Saccharomyces cerevisiae S288C: one gene and its partners. Changing the gene in region 3 together with the main gene of any one other region gives a genetic interaction. Each region holds a gene or a part of one and is shown on either strand. Other genes may lie near its edges.

Evidence for each region.
Region 1: mutations in SDT1 (region 3) and NCP1 together harm fitness less than expected from each alone (positive genetic interaction), as found in Saccharomyces cerevisiae (one large-scale study listed by BioGRID).
Region 2: mutations in SDT1 (region 3) and TRX3 together harm fitness more than expected from each alone (negative genetic interaction), as found in Saccharomyces cerevisiae (one large-scale study listed by BioGRID).
Region 4: mutations in SDT1 (region 3) and MET10 together harm fitness more than expected from each alone (negative genetic interaction), as found in Saccharomyces cerevisiae (one large-scale study listed by BioGRID).

The regions. Positions count from the first base shown.
Region 1 is NC_001140.6:188,917-193,477, reverse strand, and holds NCP1 (NADPH--hemoprotein reductase), read right to left. Parts: upstream 2,936-4,561; coding exon 860-2,935; downstream 1-859. Other genes in the region: DOG2 (2-deoxyglucose-6-phosphatase), read left to right, coding at 1-673; SRB2 (Srb2p), read left to right, coding at 3,614-3,627, 3,729-4,347; BCD1 (Bcd1p), read right to left, coding at 4,454-4,561. UniProt on the Saccharomyces cerevisiae protein: This enzyme is required for electron transfer from NADP to cytochrome P450 in microsomes. It can also provide electron transfer to heme oxygenase and cytochrome B5. Involved in ergosterol biosynthesis.
Region 2 is NC_001135.5:255,797-260,461, reverse strand, and holds TRX3 (Trx3p), read right to left. Parts: upstream 885-4,665; coding exon 501-884; downstream 1-500. Other genes in the region: chromatin-silencing transcriptional regulator TUP1, read left to right, coding at 1-151; AHC2 (Ahc2p), read right to left, coding at 1,193-1,579; SRB8 (Srb8p), read right to left, coding at 1,808-4,665.
Region 3 is NC_001139.9:76,464-81,772, forward strand, and holds SDT1 (nucleotidase), read right to left. Parts: upstream 2,395-5,309; coding exon 1,552-2,394; downstream 1-1,551. Other genes in the region: VRG4 (GDP-mannose transporter), read left to right, coding at 431-1,444; Golgi transport complex subunit COG1, read right to left, coding at 2,649-3,902; EDC1 (Edc1p), read right to left, coding at 4,196-4,723; NIF3 (uncharacterized protein), read right to left, coding at 4,963-5,309. UniProt on the Saccharomyces cerevisiae protein: Could be an enzyme that inactivates 6-azauracil by modifying it.
Region 4 is NC_001138.5:211,663-218,916, reverse strand, and holds MET10 (sulfite reductase subunit alpha), read right to left. Parts: upstream 5,606-7,254; coding exon 2,498-5,605; downstream 1-2,497. Other genes in the region: condensin subunit SMC2, read left to right, coding at 1-2,323; PTR3 (Ptr3p), read right to left, coding at 5,944-7,254. UniProt on the Saccharomyces cerevisiae protein: This enzyme catalyzes the 6-electron reduction of sulfite to sulfide. This is one of several activities required for the biosynthesis of L-cysteine from sulfate.

The DNA of each region.
Region 1 (4,561 bases), on a different chromosome or scaffold from region 3:
AGCGGAAAGTGCCTGGAAAAAATTATGCCGTCAGCATGGGGTTGATCCTGTTGAGTTATTCAAGCATTCCCATGGTGCAAGATCACAAGAAATGATGAAGAAATTTTTTCCAAAATTGGACAATACCGATAATAAAGGTGTTCTTGCGTTAGAAAAGGATATGGCAGATAATTATTTGGACACAGTAAGCCTTATCCCTGGTGCAGAGAATTTATTGTTATCGTTAGATGTAGATACTGAGACTCAAAAAAAGTTACCTGAAAGGAAATGGGCTATCGTTACCTCTGGTTCTCCATATTTGGCATTTTCATGGTTCGAGACAATATTGAAAAATGTTGGAAAGCCCAAAGTTTTCATTACTGGATTTGACGTGAAGAACGGTAAGCCTGATCCCGAGGGTTACTCAAGAGCTCGTGATTTATTGCGTCAAGATTTGCAATTAACTGGTAAACAGGATCTGAAGTATGTTGTCTTTGAAGATGCACCCGTGGGCATAAAGGCCGGCAAAGCAATGGGCGCAATTACTGTGGGTATAACATCCTCGTATGATAAGAGCGTTTTATTTGACGCAGGTGCAGATTATGTGGTCTGTGATTTGACACAGGTTTCCGTGGTTAAGAACAATGAGAACGGTATCGTTATCCAGGTAAACAACCCTTTGACGAGAGATTAAATAAATAAGGACATCGCAGAAGCACGAATATATAGATAAAATTGTATGTAAAAGCAAAAGTTGAACTGCGTATGATTTCTTATAGTGAGTATGAAATTTTTTTTTTTTTTGGTTATCTAACTTATTTTTCTTTGATACAGATCGTGTGGTTGAACAACCGCGCCGAAGGCTTGATCAGTGGGCTGATTACCAGACATCTTCTTGGTATCTACCTGAAGTCTTGAGCATCTTGATTAGCTCTGTTGCTTCATCAGTGGTAATGGATTTACCACGGGATAAGATGCCAACCAATGCGGTTGACACACCCTTGGCCATACCCTTTGCATCACCACAGACGTAGATAAATGCACCGTTGTTAATCATTTCAAATACTTGGTCTTCGTAATCCTTTAATTTATCTTGAACATAAACTTTTTTGGTGTTTGGCAACCTGGAATGGGCCACGACCATTTCGAACGAACCATCCAATTTTTTGGCGTATTCTGGCCATTCGTCCTGGTACAAGAAATCATCAGTGTTACGGGATCCATAAAACAGTATATGCTTACCTAGCGAAACGTTGTTACCGCCCTTCTTTTGTGATTCGAGGAACGCGACACGCTCTCTGATAAACCCACGGAATGGGGCAACACCGGTACCTGGACCGATCATGATAACTGGGGTGGAAGGGTTGGAAGGCAATCTGAAGTTAGAACGACGAACGTGGACGGGCAATTTGTAATTGGCGAAAAGTTTACGTGGGCCATTTAAATCGTAGTGAACAGGTAGGTTAGTTTCGGCAATGTTAACATTGTTTTGAGCCAATTGAATGTTTCTTAACAAGTTAGTCGTAACACCAACAACTGGAGGAGCATCAGGCAATTCTGGGTTAGGAAAGTTTTCCACAATGGAGGTGACATGGACGGTTTGCTTTTCAGACAGAGAAGAGGAAGAGATAGAGTAGTAACGAGGAGTCATTTGGGGAACTGATTCGACCAAGAATTGCATGGGTACGGTGTCCCATTTGGCGCCATCAGACAAATATTTCAGAGCATCTGCGATGTTGAAATATTTGGAGGTTATCTCGACGGCGAATTGGTCCTTGTCTTTCGAAAGCAGAGTCAATTTTTCCTTGACGTCAGCGTTGGGGGCGAACTGAATCAAAGATGAAAACAATTGTCTGGAGACAGGTCCTGTAATTTCCAAATAGTGTTTAATAGCAGCGCCAATAGTAGTTGGCGTTGGGAAGGGCACTTTGACGGTGGGATCCAGGGGCTTCAAGTCAAAAATGGTTTCAGGGTCCAGGTTGAATATGGATAAGAACTGTTCGACCTTTTCCAATGGGTTGGAAGGCCAAACAGCAAGATGGTCACCAGTGGAGTACTTGATGTTAGAGCCGGACAAGTCAAATTCAGAGTGGATGCAATTACGGTCATTGGAAGAGAACAGTTCGCGAGATTTCACGATGGGTGCAATATACGGTTGAGACAAATCGAAGGGACCCAATTGGATGCCGTCTGCGTTGCGGTTCAACTGATGCGAGGGCAAATAGTGAGCAGAGGGTTCACCAAGCGACATGGAGTCAGTGATTTCGTTCAACACAGTGTACTGGAATTGAGAGGTGAACTTGGCTTCCTGTTCGTCCAAATGCAGTTCGTCTTTCAAAACCTCCAGGATGGAGTCCTTCCAGGCCATGTAATCTTCGTCTGTAGTTCCTGCACCATCATCAGCTTCACCGAGCTTGCCTAGTCTGATAGCGCCCGCGGCGGAGAGATGCTTCTCGGCCTTCTTGGCGGCACCATTAAAGAATTCATAAGTAGAATTTCCCAGACCAAACATATTATACCTCAGGTTCGATAGTGCACCCGCTTCCGCATTACAAATAAAGTCTTCAAAGTTGACCGCCCCGTCGGGGAAGTCTCCTTCACCATATGTAGAGATAAAAATCGAGACTATGACGGGCACATCGTTTAGCGACTCAAAGTCGTAGTTCTCAACATCTGCGCACATCACGTTTAGGTTGAACTTGGCCACCAGCTCCTTGGAAAACTTTTTGGCGTAATCCTCGGCAGTCCCAGTCTGCGACGCATACAACACCAAGTAGTTCTTGTTGTTTTCGGTCACCACCTGAGCAATGTCTCTGTTGCCCGAGCTGACAGCTGTGATATCTCCGTCATCGGACATCAGCAGTTCCTTGATGGAGTTTCTCTTTACGTACAGTAGCACGGCAAGCACTAGCCCCGCCAGGACAGTGAAGTCGGTGTTGTCTATTCCAAACGGCATGATATGTGCGACAGTAGATCACTTGAAAACCGCGGTCGTTGTCTAGCGTAGCGGTGACCACTACAGGAACGCAAACTTAAGCTACATTGTTCACCATATTATACTATATATATAACCTCGCGCTGAGCTTTACAGGTGCGTTTGTCCTCGAAGAACGAAAAGCAGCCCGAAAAAAAAATGCAAAACGATAAAAGCTGGCTGGAGAACAATAGCGGGTTGACCGCTAAACGAGCACACACGTGATGTGTCGTGAACTGTGATCGTGGTAGTATGATGCTAGTATGTAGTGATGGCTGCATGGTACCAGCGGTGACGTTCGGTAGACTCTACTCTCCTTTGTTCCCCCGGTGTGCCATCTTTTGAGTTTTGCGTGCGTTATCTACTGGGAGCAAGGGTCTGGCTCGTACGCATAGAGGCTGAGGACGAACAGTGTGCGTTTGCAGGCGTGGATATAGAATACATAGCTATATAGATGGGTAGTGCGCATGGGAAAGTGCAATTGAGCGAAGGAAGGGGCAGGTGGACTGTAGATGTCGCCGCGTGATTTTATCGTTGTTTCTCTTCTTGTGTTTTCTTATGCGTTAGTATGCCAGTTTCGCGGTGTGATTCCCAAAGTGAAATTTTACTGGAAGAGCAAATCTTGTAAGTCGGCGCTCGAAAGCACAGTAGCAATCCATCATGGGAAAATCAGCGTATGTAAAGCTGGAGCGTCCTTCGTGGCGCATCGGAATTTCTTCAATTGAACTACCTGTTGCTAACAACAGTTTTTTTTTTCTCTCTTTTATGTATATAGCGTTATATTCGTGGAAAGAGCCACTCCCGCTACACTAACGGAACTGAAGGATGCTCTCTCGAATAGTATCCTGTCCGTGCGAGACCCTTGGTCGATAGACTTTCGGACGTACCGGTGCTCTATCAAGAACCTACCCGCGGATGTCTCCAAGCTCATGTACTCGATAACGTTCCACCACCATGGCCGGCAGACCGTGCTAATCAAGGACAACTCAGCGATGGTGACGACTGCCGCAGCGGCGGATATCCCTCCGGCGCTGGTGTTCAATGGCTCATCTACGGGCGTTCCTGAGTCCATAGACACTATTTTGTCGTCCAAGCTGTCCAACATCTGGATGCAGAGGCAGCTCATCAAGGGTGATGCCGGTGAGACGTTGATCTTGGACGGGCTCACCGTGCGACTCGTCAACCTCTTCTCCTCCACTGGGTTCAAGGGTCTCCTGATAGAACTGCAGGCGGACGAAGCGGGCGAGTTTGAGACCAAGATTGCAGGCATCGAAGGACACCTAGCTGAAATCCGGGCCAAGGAGTACAAAACCTCATCCGACTCGTTGGGGCCGGACACCAGCAACGAAATATGTGATTTGGCGTACCAGTATGTTCGTGCTCTGGAGCTGTGAGTTCTTACGAATGCTTTTTCTTTTTTTTTTTTTCTGTTTGTATATTGCGGTGTATACGTATAGATAGATAGTCTAAATAGTAATCTTCAACCTTATGTATCTCGGCTCATGCAGTGAGGAAATCCATGGATAAGCCCGGATTGTAGTCATCGTCGCTGTCGCTGTCGCTGTCGCTGGCGTCCTGTGTTTCCTTCTGTACAGGTTCTTCTGTCGG
Region 2 (4,665 bases), on a different chromosome or scaffold from region 3:
GTTATTGATGTTGCAAGGTCATAGGAATTCAGTTATATCTGTGGCTGTGGCAAACGGGTCTCCGCTGGGTCCAGAATATAACGTTTTTGCTACTGGTAGCGGTGATTGTAAAGCAAGGATTTGGAAGTATAAAAAAATAGCGCCAAATTAAGAACAGAACACAAAAGGAACACTTTACAAATGTAACTAACTAAACTATTCTTCAATTCATTGTCATTATATCTTTCTCTCTATTCTTTTTTATCTACTTATTTGTTATGTTATGATCCAGGTACGCTTTAAAACAAACAGTTACTTTCCTCACCATTCATCCCTTCCCCTCCTTTTCCTGTGTTTCTGAATATTGCGGTTCATTATTCTTTGATATGAATTTATTTGTGTATTGTATAAGCTTACTTTCCTTTTATATGTATATGTATATATATATATATATATACTATCTTTTTTCTTATATTTAAAACTAAAAAAAAAAAAACTACATGTGCTCATGAATATAAAATTTATAGATCTTTGATTCCCTTCTCTAAAGCAGTAGGGTTAGCTCCAATGATCTTGCCGATGAGTTGGCCATCCTTGCCAAGAACAAAGGTGGGCATAGCCGTCACTTCACACTCTTTGGCAATATCTGGTGATTCGTCCACGTCGCACTTGACAAATCTTACATCTGGATAAGCCTGAATTAATTTCGTTAAGTGTGGTTGCATCATCTTACAGGGGCCACACCAAGTAGCATAAAAATCGATGACTAGTTTATCATTTTGCTTGATCAAATTCCTAAATTCTGTTAGGTTCGTCAATTTAGTAATACTGGTGTATGAGGACTGGAATCTTATGCTTTTTAGCGGTCTCACCGCCATCCTCATCACAGGCTTATAGAACAACATAACAGCTTTGGTTTCTCTATGTACTAACCAATCCTGCTTTCTTTGGTTAGGGGGCTAGCTCATTTTATATCTCATCGGGGCAATTTTTTCCATCACAGAATACTAGGCAACAAAATCTGCAGAAGCACAATCCACATTTGGAATTAAAAGATAGTGAAAAATGTACATGAACCCCAACCAGTAACTTAAACATAATATTTTGGGTCACTATATCTAGGGCGTTGTTCTTCTTTGTGATTTATGCAATATACGCATATATGTATATATATATAAATATATGTTTAAAAATGTCCATAGCCGCTATTTGATCATAATAAGCCATCTTCATACAAAGCCAACAATTGATCGTTCTCTGCTATATAAGCGTTGATATCTAGGGCAAACTTGTCCCAGTCTATCTGGGGAATGTCGTCGTTGCTAATCCATTTTTGCTTTTGAAATCCGTTCTCTACAGTGAAAATTTCTCGCAGTAAATCCCTATTCTCCGCCAATACATCAACAAATTCCTGGTAATTCTTGGTATTTTGAATTTTGTGGAAAAGAGAACACAGATTCTTGACAAAAGATTCTCTTTCGTTAATAAGCGTCTCTAGCTGTGTTCTTCGTTGTTGCAGTACGATGTAATCGAGATCTTGATGCAGGTCAGTTTTTTGAAACTTGGCCACAGCATCGTGCGTTCCCTTTGGGGTGATCATTCCAGTTTAAATAGACTGGTACACGCTAGTACTGATCTTGTAAGCGGATGAGCACTTTGTCTTAATCCTCCTTAACCATCGCTCATAAACCCCAGTTTTATAATCGGTGGCAAACATGTCATTTGGTACGGTATCATTTAGAGGAATCAATTGGTTGGGTATTAAAACTGACACATAATTACTGTTATTGGTAAATTTATAATTTATCCATTTGGATATATTCTGAGATCAATGTGGATTTTTCCTCTCAAACCGAGCATCAAAAAGACTCAGGTTTACACAGGAATCGTTAAACGCAGTCGTATCATTACTGCCTGTAGCCATGTCATCTGTGTACTTGGTATTATAGTTGGAGATGAAGTGGTACGGCTCCATGGAAAATGTGCAGACATATTTATGATCTTTCTTGTCATAAATGAGCCATTTCTGTTCGTTTTCGTGCGCTATTTCAACTATGCCGATTCCTAAATTTAAACTAAACGATTCTTCTTGGTCTGCATCTTCTTCTTCCCCGTAGTCGCCACTATGAAGTTTTGTTTCCTTAACGAAAGAGGACACTTGGAATGGTGGTAAGTTCAGCAATTTCTTCGGTAGTTCGACCTTACCGCTTGTGTGGAATGCTGGGGCATCAATTGTGGATGAATAGATGGCGAATGATTTCAATGAAGACAAAATTTCGTACAAGAACAGCTTCAATCTTAAATTAAATGATATTTTATCAAACAGCTTGCATATGCTATCAATGAATGGACTTGTGGGTTTATCAGCTGATAAATCAGCGATGATGCGTTGGAAAATGGAATCCTGATGAAAGCTAAAAATTTTCAAGACGGCATCTATTTGGATTTCTCTCTTAGATAAATTTCCTTCGTTCAGTTCACTTAATTGTCTTATGATCTTTATTAGTAAATGATAGTTCTCCATGGAAATAACTATCATACCAGAAGTTTCTCTTTGAAACCTCATCGATAATGACGTTATAATCTCGATCACCACAACGATGTAATTATCATCTATCTTTTGGTTGTTGTTTTGCAAACAAGAAGTGCAGAAATCTTTCTCCACTATTTGGGTTATCATCTCAATGGTCTGCATATCCTTCAGTTGGTCAAATATTTGTGAACATAAATCATTAGAATTAGTTATTTCGATAATTTGGAATATGAAGTTCTTCAAGTCTTCCATTGCCATTGCTGGCTCATTATTCTCCATGATTTTTTTGATGCAGAAACAGGTAAACGCTTGGAAAACCCAAAGATTGGCAAAGTCCATCATAACGTAATATTCTACATGATCAATTTCGTCGACTGTGTGATCATCATCGTCACTTTTATCATCGTTGGTTACAACAGTGTCATTGTCTGGTTGTCCACTACCCAATGGAATATCGTTAAGATCGGTTTCCGACGGACAAGTTGAGTAGTACAAAATATCCTCCAAAATATTAGATGAGTTTTCCACGCTATCATTCAATAACAACATAATGATTTTTGTAGATGTTGCAAGTAATTTGGGAGATGACCCATAAGTTATTAAAATTTTCAATAGGATCTCATAATAATTTATTTCACATTCGTTGCCATGATATTTTTTTTCTAATTCATAACATGTAAGTAAAATTTTCTCAAAATTTGACTTTATGAATTGTTCTTTATGATACTTCAAAAACAGACCATATGAGCCGTCATTATTTTCCAAGTTTATTGGTAATAATCGAATAATATACTCGAGCCCCAACACATTCTGCGTCACTTCAAAAGTTAGAAGTTTTAGAGAGATCAATTGAATTAAATTTTTGTTAGTAAAGTCTTTCCTTTTCAAGAAAATGGACATAAATTTATTGTACTCCTTCAAGTTAGTGGCAATCAAAAGCATGACATTGTTTCGTGCTTTCTGGAACTGTTTGCTTGTATTTGTATCAATGATCTCGGAGTTGTGTAGTAGAAACCTGATGTTTACTTGAAACACCTCGGGAAAATTCCAAGTCTGTCCAACAGCTTGGTTTGAATTATTGATCATGGAATACACCTTCAAGACTTCTGATTTATCATTCTTCAGCTTCTCAGTTTTCAATTTCTCATCATTGTAAACAGATTGTAACTCAATCCTTAAATCGTTATCCACCTTTAAAACAAAAGGGAAGTTTTTCATAAAAAATTTCCAGAATGGCATAAATGAAGTCACATTATAAGCAGGCACGTCTTTTTCTTTCAAAACTTTCTTGTAAATGAATATGAACGTCTTCGTAAAAAGAATATGGTCATTAATGAATTGTGAGAACAATTTTTGGTAGCATAGCAAGATGTCCATCAATGCCTCCAGAGATTCTATATCACTTAGCAATTGATGGTAGACAATAAACTCGATCCACTTAAAAAAGTGGTGGAAAACCTCCAGATCGATACAAAAAATCTTGAATATTTTTAGCAACACTGTGCGGTTAACACTAGATAAAATACCGGAACATAAATGTGATAAGTACCATTCTGCAACCATGATTTTAATGCTCAGAGGAGTTTTCGACAGTTGCAAATTAGTTATATCATTGGAGAGTATTCGCATTTTGATTTGTTCTGTGATTTCCACGAGTTGGTCGAAATTAAAAATTTCATAAAATTTAACGTCATATTCCATAACGTTCCTCAATACCATATTGTATTGACTTTTCATCAACGGTGAAATTTTCAAGTTAATTAACAGCTGGACATGCACAAACTTATCATTGGAATCTTGGAGATAAAGTAGGCCGGAACTGATTAGCTTTCTGATATACGTAGGGACCTTAATGATGCCATAAGTAATTAGTATATTAAGCAGGCGATACAAAGAAGGCATCATATATGATACCACCCTCTTTTGGGCCGAAAAATTTTTGGCTAATTGGAAAACCAATGACCAAATGGCATCTTCTATCTGGAATTCGTGCAAATCCTCATCTGTTGAATTTATTCGCAATAGTAATAATTTCGCTACCAGTTGATTAGATTCATAGTGATCAAATTGCCTTGATGGATGTATGGACCAGAGAATTAATTGAATAATTTTATGCATTGTAAGGGGATTTTGGTCAACGTAAGTGGGCCAAT
Region 3 (5,309 bases):
TAGAAGAAAATATATGACTGGTGGTACAAAGTGGCATGGTGGTATATAGATGTAGGAACACCATTTGAGTTTGCCATAATGATTAAATTTCCCTTTTTATAAAGAATTAGCCGCCCATAACACGAAAAATATCACAGTTGACGAAAGAAGACACGTCGCCTAAACGCGTAATGAATCGCAATATACGAAAAGCTAAACGGGTTTTTCAGAATCCTCTTACCCAGCCTTGGATAATAGTTTTGGCCGAAAAAAAAAAAAAGAAAGAAAAAAATTGAAATTTCGCGATCCGAACAAACAATGAACAGAAAAACAGAATATATATAACGCTGCCAAGCCTATTTCTTGTTGCCGATTAATTGTTGACATCCTCTTAATTACCAAAAGAGCCTAAGAAAACAAACACACTAACCACACAGTATCTTTCGCCCGAATGTCTGAATTGAAAACAGGTCATGCAGGCCATAACCCTTGGGCTTCAGTTGCCAATTCCGGTCCGATCTCTATTTTATCCTACTGTGGTTCCTCTATTTTAATGACGGTGACTAACAAGTTCGTCGTCAATTTGAAGGATTTCAACATGAACTTTGTCATGCTTTTCGTGCAATCTTTGGTTTGTACTATAACCTTGATTATCCTACGTATACTGGGCTATGCGAAGTTCCGTTCATTAAACAAAACAGACGCCAAGAACTGGTTCCCTATTTCCTTTTTACTGGTCTTGATGATCTACACCTCTTCGAAGGCTTTACAATACTTGGCTGTTCCAATTTACACCATTTTCAAGAATTTGACTATTATCTTGATTGCTTATGGTGAGGTTCTCTTTTTTGGTGGCTCTGTCACCTCCATGGAATTGTCATCATTTTTGTTGATGGTCCTTTCTTCTGTCGTTGCAACTTGGGGTGACCAGCAAGCTGTGGCTGCCAAGGCTGCTTCATTGGCTGAAGGAGCAGCCGGTGCTGTTGCCTCCTTTAACCCAGGTTATTTCTGGATGTTCACCAACTGTATCACTTCTGCATTATTCGTTCTTATAATGAGAAAGAGAATTAAGTTAACTAACTTCAAGGATTTCGACACTATGTTTTACAACAATGTTTTGGCTCTACCTATTCTATTGCTGTTTTCTTTCTGTGTGGAAGATTGGTCTTCAGTTAATTTGACCAATAACTTTTCTAACGATTCGCTAACTGCTATGATCATCAGTGGTGTTGCATCCGTCGGTATTTCTTACTGTTCCGGTTGGTGTGTTCGTGTTACTTCGTCTACTACATATTCGATGGTAGGGGCTTTGAACAAGCTGCCAATTGCCTTGTCTGGTTTGATTTTCTTTGATGCTCCAAGAAACTTCTTATCTATTCTCTCCATTTTTATTGGTTTCCTATCAGGTATTATTTATGCTGTTGCCAAACAAAAGAAGCAACAAGCCCAACCTTTACGTAAATGAGAACTTACGGGGGGTGCAATTTATTTTTTTTTTTTGGTTTATTTTATTTTATAGAGGCATCTAATGCAAGTAGATTTATATACAATTATACTTAAAATTGATATACCTTAGAACAGGTCGGACACAACGTGTGGTAACTCCAATATATCACTAATGACAATAGCGCCTTCTGGTGTTTGCCCCAAAATTTCATTTACTTCATTCTCAACTAAATGAATACATGTTTTCATGCCCAATTTGATACCTGTCTCGATGTTTTTCCCACTGTCATCTATAAAATAAGCATTCTCGTATCTTGCCAACCCGCTTTCCTTCATGGCTTTTTCAAATGCTTTAACATGTGGTTTGCAGACCAGCGTATCTGTCCTAGAGTAGTCACAATATGTCAATCCATCAAATAAATCCGCTATACCCAACAATCTCAGGCAACGTATTGCGTGGTTTTTATAAGCGTTGGTGAAAAGCCACAATTTATCAATCTTTCCCGATTGTCTCAATCTCAACAGCATATTCCTTAATGGTATATCAGGTTTCAAGATATCTTGTAGTGGTAAGGAATCATCCACAAGCCGGTTATATTCCAGTGCGTTCACTTTGTGGAACATTACAAGTCCCCTTATGGCAAGTCCATACTCTTTGTAGTAAGAGTTATTCAAAACGTGAGCATCTTCAGGTGATAGTTTCAAGTGTGTTTGAAAGAACCTCAGTATAGATTGTTGCATAAGATCGTGAATTCTCGTGGATGATTTATAGAGACAGTTGTCGATATCAAAAAAGAAAACTTTTAAGTTCGGGTTTTGAGGTGTAGCAGAAATATCTTGATCGATCGGAAATGTCACTTTCGAACCTGGATGAGTCAATGATTCAAGATGTGCTTTATTCTTGGCAATTTGTTCGTTCACCTCATTCTGATAGGTTGCCAAATCGGATGCAGTATATTCAACAGTCATGAAGCCTAGTAATGATTCGGTCCAAGAGCTTACTCATGTATTCCGAAATTAATTCAGGTGAAATGGGGGAGTAATATGATATCAAGAAGGCGATCACTTATTGAAGTCCACATAGATACACACAGATAAACATATATATATTATGTATATATATATATATATATATATATATATATATATGTATATATCAACGCCCATACCATTATCATTATCAATAAGTTTGCGAGGCGGGTACCCTCCCTCGTGCTATTATATTACTGTTGCCTTAATTGAGTAATTTGATCGATGACTAATTGCAAGAGATTGTGATTGTTGTACGAAGTTATAAAATCATCCACAACACTCGTTGAGTTTTCCAGTGGTGAAGGTAAGCGGGATGAGATCTGAGTCTTAAACTCTTGCAATTGAGTAATCAATTTATTTCTCAAATCTGTCAGTGTCTCTTGAGGGCATTTATACAATTCTAAGTTTTGTAGGATTTCAATCGTAGGCTGCACCGTTTGATAAATTTGCAACGTGGTATCATTGGTTAAACCTTTTGAATAGAATACCGCTGTATCAATATATTGTTTCAATGCATCATCATCAAGTGGAGATACAGTGCCATCATTGAGGTTCGTATCATTATCATGGAAGATATCTAATTTATGAAGAGTTTCAGGCTCCTTAAGCTTGGCTCTCAAAGTAGAGAGTGTATCCAAATGTGTGTTTATTTCTTTCACGGTTCTCCGAATGAGATGGTCTCTAAAGGTGGACGAATTCACAAAATCGACAACAATCGCGTCCTTATATTGCTGATTGGAGTGATATTGATGATCTTTGCTGTTGGCACTTGATATCAGTAACGCTTGAACGTTATCGTTAAATAGTGTCTCGAATAGGGATTCATTGAATATAGAAAGTAAATCATCGTCCCACTTCGAGGAAAACTCCGTGTTTAGTAAATTGTATAGTTTTACCCACTGTAGTAAAGTTAAGTTTAATGTCTTCATAGAGTCCACCAAGAACTTCTGTAGTCGACAACATTTGTCCTTGACAAGCGCTTCAAATTTGGAAGGAACTGGTATCAAAGATAATTCGTGGAAATTCAACAGTAGCTCGTCGAATATCCGCGACGGAGTAGTGGAAGTAACTATACGATTACAGAAGTTGTTGATGGAGATGGTCCAATTTGAAATTACTAAAATGTTTTGCGATGGTATGCTGACTTTTTCTTCGTCACGAGGTGGTGATATATGGGTAGTGGTTTGGTATGGTAGTGGAGTTAACTTATTCAACTGAAATTTTTCATCATTGAAACACAGGGATTTAAAATCTTGATCAACATTTTTCAAATTGAGCGACAAGTCATTAACAGAATCGGTCAAGCTTAAGATCTTGTTATAGTTCTTTAGCAAATTCTTTTGGAAGGCCTCATTGGTTTTAGTCAAATCGTTCTGTAACTCCAATTGATAATCTTTAATCTGTGGAATATGAGAATCGCGAAACAATGGTAAGACTTCATCCATTTTCTATCGTATTGGTTTTTTTTAGGTTTTCTACCACAAGATTTGTTGTACGAATGTGTTATTTATTATTCACCGCCATGTTTCATTTTTCTTCAGCATAATGATGAACTGTAACAGAAAATAGGAAAAAAAAATTGTCATCTGAGAAATTGCTTTGGATGACCAGATCCAAAACAGACATAAGCATTCGTATAATTGGTACATAGGTATATATCAAATAAAAATATGCATTATTCTAAAAAAAAAAAAAAAAAAAAAAAAAAAAAAATCAAAAATGTCTCTCTAAAGGGTGATTATAAAAAACTTGGTTTGGGCAAGTTTTTAGCCTCCCTTGGACCATTAGTGGCGAAAGTGGAGCCTGCATAAGAGTGACTGAGTTTTTTGGCACTGCCATTACAACCCATTGGTATTATCCCTTGAGAGCCATGCGGGGATTGTTTCTGGTTCAGAAGCAGATTCTTTAGGTTCTGACTCAGTAAACGAGTATCATCTTTGTTGTTCTGTCGTGGCGTTTCTTTATTATTCTGTCTGTTTTTTTTACCTAAAGTAGTTGTAGAGGAAGGGGAAGAAGGTGGAGAGTGCTTCTTTTGATTAAATGATGGTTTCTTGTTGGAAGAATGGCCGAAGTTAGGTTTCTGACCGTTAGGAAGAGTTTGAGGAGGTGGTATATCTGTGATATAGTTGTTATTATTGGCGTTCTTAGCAGCATTTCCCCTCGCACGATTATTTCTAGTTTTTTGTTTGATTAGATTATTTGTCTTGTTCCTGCCAGCCGATGGCAACAGCCTGGAGCTGTTGAAATACATGGTATCCGTCGACATGCCTTGTAATATTTGTGTGAGTATATTTGTGTGCTAAGTGTAATTACGTTACGCTTTGCTGAGTACTTCGTCTTCAATACAGAGTATGTTATTGTCCTTGTTATTTGAAGACTTTTACCTTTTCTATCCGTATTTCTCTATCCGATACAACAACATCATTTTACACGAACAGCCGGATGATAAAACTGTAGTACGTATGGTATTTGTGATATCCTATATAGCCATATAATTACTAGCAGCTATGCAACAGTCAAAGGATCGCAATCCATTTTGCTTACGACTACTTCGTGGCCCTCATCTTGCAACAAGCCCTTCATAACGTCTTGAAGGAATCCACGCTCAGTATTTGAGTGGTTGCAAACAATAACGGTCTTGCCCATTTCTTTCCACTTCAGTACTTCATGATGTGACATTTCTCCCGTATAGTAAAGGTCTACGTCCTCTTTTAGTTGCTTAAACACGCCAGAACCGCTCCCGGCACAGACAGCGACTTTTTTGATTTTGAGTTGATTCCATGCGGATGGAGCAGCAAGAGATGCTACTTGTACATAGGGAACCCGTAAAACACGCTTGACATTTTTGACAA
Region 4 (7,254 bases), on a different chromosome or scaffold from region 3:
TGGTTATAACGCACAGTTGGCCAAGGCAAAGACTGAGCTGAATGAAGTCTCCTTGGCGATAAAAAAATCAAGCATGAAAATGGAGTTGTTGAAGAAAGAGCTATTGACAATTGAACCTAAATTAAAGGAGGCCACGAAAGATAACGAGTTAAATGTGAAGCATGTTAAACAATGCCAAGAAACGTGCGATAAACTACGAGCCCGACTAGTCGAATATGGGTTTGATCCATCACGAATTAAAGACCTGAAGCAAAGAGAGGATAAATTGAAGAGCCATTATTATCAAACATGTAAGAACTCTGAATATTTAAAAAGACGCGTAACAAATCTGGAATTTAACTATACGAAACCTTATCCTAATTTTGAAGCCAGCTTTGTCCATGGGGTGGTGGGTCAACTTTTCCAGATAGATAATGATAATATTCGCTATGCTACTGCTTTGCAAACTTGTGCCGGAGGTAGGCTATTCAATGTTGTTGTTCAAGATTCTCAGACGGCCACTCAGCTATTAGAAAGAGGAAGATTACGCAAGCGTGTTACCATCATACCTCTTGATAAGATATATACGAGGCCAATAAGTTCTCAAGTGCTTGATTTAGCCAAGAAAATTGCTCCTGGGAAAGTTGAATTGGCAATAAATTTAATAAGGTTTGATGAATCTATCACTAAAGCGATGGAATTTATTTTTGGAAATAGTTTAATCTGTGAAGATCCGGAAACAGCAAAGAAAATTACCTTCCATCCAAAGATCCGCGCTAGAAGTATCACCCTTCAAGGTGATGTATACGACCCAGAGGGTACATTGTCTGGTGGTAGTAGAAATACCTCTGAATCGTTATTAGTTGATATTCAAAAATACAATCAAATTCAAAAACAAATTGAGACCATTCAGGCTGATCTCAACCATGTAACGGAAGAGCTACAGACGCAATATGCTACATCGCAAAAAACAAAGACCATTCAAAGTGATTTAAATCTCTCGTTGCATAAATTGGATTTGGCTAAGCGTAATCTCGACGCGAATCCATCTTCCCAAATAATTGCTAGGAATGAAGAAATTTTGAGGGACATTGGAGAGTGTGAGAATGAAATCAAAACCAAGCAAATGAGCTTAAAGAAATGTCAAGAAGAAGTTTCGACCATTGAAAAAGACATGAAGGAGTACGATAGCGATAAAGGATCCAAGTTAAATGAATTAAAGAAGGAATTGAAACTATTGGCGAAAGAGCTGGAGGAGCAGGAATCGGAGTCAGAACGTAAATATGACTTGTTTCAAAACTTGGAATTAGAAACAGAGCAATTGAGCTCAGAACTAGATTCTAATAAGACGCTATTGCATAACCATTTGAAATCTATTGAAAGTTTGAAATTGGAAAATTCTGATTTGGAGGGAAAGATACGAGGTGTTGAAGACGACCTTGTAACAGTCCAGACAGAACTGAACGAAGAAAAGAAAAGGTTGATGGACATTGATGATGAACTAAATGAATTAGAAACATTGATAAAGAAAAAACAGGACGAGAAAAAAAGCAGTGAATTAGAACTACAAAAATTGGTCCATGACTTGAACAAATATAAGTCTAATACGAACAACATGGAAAAGATAATTGAAGATCTGCGACAGAAACACGAATTTCTTGAGGATTTTGATCTGGTGAGAAATATCGTCAAACAAAATGAGGGTATCGATTTGGATACTTACAGAGAAAGGAGTAAACAATTGAACGAGAAGTTTCAAGAGCTCAGAAAAAAAGTTAATCCAAATATTATGAATATGATAGAAAATGTTGAGAAAAAGGAGGCAGCATTAAAAACAATGATTAAAACGATTGAAAAAGATAAGATGAAAATCCAAGAGACTATATCGAAGTTGAACGAATATAAAAGAGAAACTTTAGTCAAAACATGGGAGAAAGTGACACTTGATTTTGGTAATATTTTTGCAGACCTTTTACCAAATTCATTTGCAAAATTGGTTCCATGCGAAGGTAAGGACGTAACGCAGGGTTTAGAGGTTAAAGTAAAGCTTGGTAATATATGGAAGGAAAGTTTGATTGAATTGTCCGGTGGGCAAAGGTCGTTGATTGCTTTGTCATTGATTATGGCATTGTTGCAATTTCGACCAGCGCCTATGTATATTTTGGATGAAGTTGATGCTGCTCTTGATTTAAGTCATACGCAAAATATAGGTCATTTGATTAAAACAAGGTTTAAAGGATCTCAGTTCATTGTAGTCTCGCTTAAAGAAGGTATGTTTGCCAATGCTAATAGGGTCTTCAGGACGAGATTTCAAGATGGTACCTCCGTAGTTAGTATAATGTGATGGTTAGTTTTCATAAGACAAATAAATATTGTAATGTAATCATATTTCAATAATTTTCTATTTGGCAGCCAATAGAAAAGCTTGCGCATAGAAGAAAACTAAAAGTAAAAAAAAAATAGAAATGTTCAAGACAGGTTCAATAAATAGATATTTAGTTTTTATTACTATATTAATTTAGTAGACTTCTAAAATGTATCTTGATGCTTCCTTTAATTCTTCAATTGCGGCATCCAAGTCGACTTTGATGCCTCTTTCCTCGGCGTCTTTAGCCAGAATGTCTTGCAAAGCTTGAGTAATATCTGGAACTGGCCAAGTAGGGCCACACAAGTAAAATGAACCTTTATTATCAATCATTGCAGTTTTTAATTCATCCAAATTCTCTTTGATACGATCTTGAATGTAAATTTTTTGAGGTTGGTCTCTTGAGAAAGCAGCGCCGATGTGTGTGATAATACCTGCATCTTTGTAAGCCTCCCATAACTCACCATATAAATATTCTTCTCTTTTGTGTCTTGAACCTAGATATAGGAAGACTTCACCAATCTCATAACCTTGCTGCTTTTGCCATAATTTCTCTTCAACAATGGCCTTGAATGGTGCCAAACCAGTACCTAAACCACTCATAATAACTGGTTGCTTTGGAGATGGTGGTAATTTCATAACAGATGGTTTAACGCTAACGACCAATTCTGAACCGACAGCAAGGTCTGAGATATACTTAGAAGCTTGACCGTACCTTTTTCTTCCTTTATTATCCACCCAATCAACAACAACGATCAATAAATGAACTTCATTTGGATGAACTTTCTGAGAGGAGGCAATTGAGTATTCTCTTCTCTTCAATGGTTCAATGATAGTAACAAGTTCCTCAAGAGATGGGCGAACAGATGGGAACAATTCAAAAATGTCAGCATATGTATAATACTCCACATCTTGAAATCTCTTCAAATCTACTGCACCGGCAGGAGTAACCAAATCCTCTAATTTTTTCTTCTCCTCTTCGTTAGAGGCATATGGAATCAATGATTCGTAAAATCTTTTTGGTGGTTTACCGAAAATATCCAAATTTTCCACAAATGCTTGTAAGACGGTTCTTGTTTCTAACAAATGGTGGTTGTCCTTGTTGGGGACTAAGACAACATCGGATTCATTTAGACCATAGAAGGTTAAGAATTCTTTGACCAAAGATTCATTGTTTCTGGCATGAATACCGAGGGCTTCACCGATGTCATAAGTCATTCCAGTACCAGAAATATCGAATTCAATATGGAAAATATATCTATCATAATCAGCAGGCGTAACACGTCTATTTTCTTTAACTTTCACGACGAAGTTCTTGACGGGTAAATCGGGTCTTAGTTTATTCTCAACTTCATATGCCTCTTTGAAGGACAACTTCTTGGCAATATCAGAGATCTCAGAGGTCTCAGGTAATGGTATTTCTTCAATGGTACTGTTATTTGGGAGGAAAGATGTTTCATTAACGAAAATTGGTAAAGCTGCAGGCTCTTCCTCATCCTCTTTCTTTTCAATGTTTATTTCAGAAAATTTAGTGTACAGCGCTAGCGGAACCTCACTGAGGAAGTTTTTGAATGCACCAGTGAGAAATTCAGAAATCGAGGCTGCTGAAATGTCTGCACCTGAATCAATGCTTTTCCAGATACGGTTGGTACATTCTGCGACATCTAGACCGAAGGCCAATTTCCAGAAAACGGCTTGGATAAACAAGGACAATTTGGACTCGTCGTTAGTGGTCTCACCATCGATGATAAACAATTTGATGTTTTTCTTCGCAATAGATATTAGGAATGATTCAGGAATTCCCAAATTCTTGACGTAACTTTCTACAGAATTTAAATCCAAATCTTTAACTGCCTTTTGGGAAACCAACGCAATTGAACCTTGTTCTGCGACGGTAGCAGCTACGTCTAAATGCTTCAATAAACTGACATCTTCAACGACTGATAATTTCGTAGAATCGATGTTTGAAACAGGTATCTGTTCTTTCGAGGTCACAAATTGAGCTTGGAAGGTACCAGCATTAGCCAAGTTATCAAATTTCGTTCTCAAAGACACAAATTTCCCATCTTCCAAAGACAGAGCTTTCACAAGTTTGGAGGCAACATCAATATTGATACTCTTATCAGAGGCCCAATAAATGAATCCTTCGCCGAAAGATGAATCGGCATTGTAAGTGAATTCAGGGATGAATGACGATACAATTGATTTGACAGCTTTTGGGGACCAAATGAAATCTGGTTGATAGATGTACTCAGAAACGCTAATTGAGGTGCGGCCGTGGTAAAATAAGGCGGCTGAAACTTGAGATCTCAAGAAAGAAGGCGAAGAACCATCCAAAGTTTGGCCTATAACAACAATTTGTTTGGTAGTGGATGGAACGTGAGTGACAAACTTAGCAACGTTAAAAGGTAATGGCACTCTGACGTTGATTAACCCGATTTTGGAATTATTACCACTAATCGCAGAGTTGAACAATTCGGATTCTAAAGACCCATAAGTGATAAACACAGTTTCAGCATCCTGAGCACCAAAGTATTGGAAATTATGTAGTCTCAATCCAGTCAATTCATTAAACTTATCCAAGACATCATCAAAGGCAGCATCTGGTGCAATAACTTTGGATAGTTTTGCCAAAATAGATGCCTCAGGAACAGATTCGACCAACGGCAAGACGGTTTTCGAGTAGTTTAATCCGTCAAATAAATTGATAGCTCCGGAGTTATTACTGAAAGTGGCAATCGCCAATGCCAGTAAGGCGACACTTTGTACCTCGTTAGCGGAAATCGGAGTCACGACACCATACTTCAGCTTGGAAGCAGCATCCAATGCGGTTACATAATCGTTGGTGACAGAGCCGGTAGCATTGTCGTAGTTTAAAGCACCAACATTCAAAAGAAACTTACCATCATGAGAGACGGTTTTCAAAGAGTTAATGAAGTATGGCAGCGAAAACCCTGGAGCAACAATTGCTGTAGTGTTCTTCAATCCATGAGAAAACCCTAAAGGAGCCAAACCAGCGCCAGATCTGATATCCAGCTCTTGGAAAAATGGCTTCCCACGTGATTCGTTACCACGCTTTTCAGACCATTTTTTTAGATCTTGGTGTAGCAAATCGGGTTGAGAAAAGGACTTGTAAGCAAAAATGGAGTCCACGTTATTGAACAGCACAGATGAAATGGCAGTTACGGGTGTACCATATTTTGGCAGTGAAGTTGCATTTTTGGCCTCGCCAAAAGGATTGGTAGCAAACTCAACTGGCATCTCGTTGTATATTTGGGTGACCTCGAGGAAAAGCAGTTGAAAAAAACTATGTGCACCCCATCTAAACGAAACTATTTCCAATCAAAAGATGGTGGTCTCGAGAACTACTGCCCTCTGTTGCTTATATATACCTTTTGCTCGAAGATGACTATGGGTTTCCGACGATTCATGAATGAGTCTTTTCTACGGCACCAAAAAAGCCACACCTGTGGGGTGAATTGTGGTCACGTGCTTCTATAAGCTCACGTGGTGTGGTATATCTTATTGGGAATGTTGATAGTGTTTTCTTTTAATACCTGTATACCAGAACCTTAAACATACGTATATATTTAGATGCATTATTTGTGGAATATTTGCTTACATTTGGTGATTTCGCGAGATTGGGGCAAGCCATATGCAAAGTCTTCCACAAAGAAAGTCCCCTTTCTGTCGAGAATATAAAGCTTGTTGCCCTCTGGGTTAAACCGCAAAGTAGCTGATTCATAAGCCCTGTAGGCATTTGCCACGGTTTCAACGAGGATTGTCCTTCTTTTTTCGTTGTTGTCCATCATGGTGGGGGCACACATGATGTAAACTGATCCGTTGCGGTCGAGGAAGGCAATTGCGTCGTTTCTTGGTGATATTTCGCACTTGTGAATCTTGCATCCAATCTCATCTACCCTTATAAGCATGGATGGTTGTGCCACGGTCCGTACACCGTTAATTTGGGTGATTTTGGTGTTTATGACCAGTGGAGATGAATTGAATGCTGTTGATGTGATACACATCAGATTTGGATTTCCTGGGAAAAGTTTTGTGTCAGTGATACCTTCAGATTCTAAGGAAGTGTCTATGGACCGAACACTTTTCATTATCAGTCTTGGTTCGTTTATTTTCTGCAAAGATATGATCAAGAACCGCGACTCTAGCGCGGTCGAACATGTCAGATACTTGGCGTCGTGCGAAAGTTGTATGGTATTGATGGGATCTCTGTATGGAAGTGTTATGGTGATTGGTGGGGGGAACTCGGGCTCCAAAGTCACTTTATTTCTGGTAATTTGTTGGATCACGACTAATGCTTGTTCCGCGCCTGTATGTCTATCCTTTCCGGTGATTCCGTAGGCTATTATCTGCGACCTTGGATCTATGTCTATGCATCGGATGGGGAATCTCGACACGTAGGTATAGATGAGTTTGCCGTTTTGGTGTATGTCGTGTACATTAAGAATGTTTTGCGAACCCGATATTATCAAGAAATCATTGGAAAGTTTGCAAAAACGTTGGCTCCAGTTTTTCTTTTTCTTTTTTGACGCTTGAGAAGTAGTGGAGAGTGAAGATGACGATTGCTCTGTTAGTTGGTTGAAGTTGGGACCATATTCTCCACTAGACTTGCCACATGATACTAGTTGAGGAGAGTTGTCCTTCGGATTAATCGAATAAATTTCCCACTTGTGTTCAGTAATTAGAGCAAATTTGGTGCAATCGGGAGAAATGCTTTGGTTGATGAATAATTTGGATTTCGTCCCTAGGAATTTGGGGTGTGTGTTGAACTGAAATTTTTTTCTGTACATGGGGAAACAGTTGGCAAAAAAGTACTCCTTTTCTTCGTCCAGATCATGTGCACTATTTGTTTGGTAGTTTGCTGTGGAAGGTATTGTAACGTCCGTAGA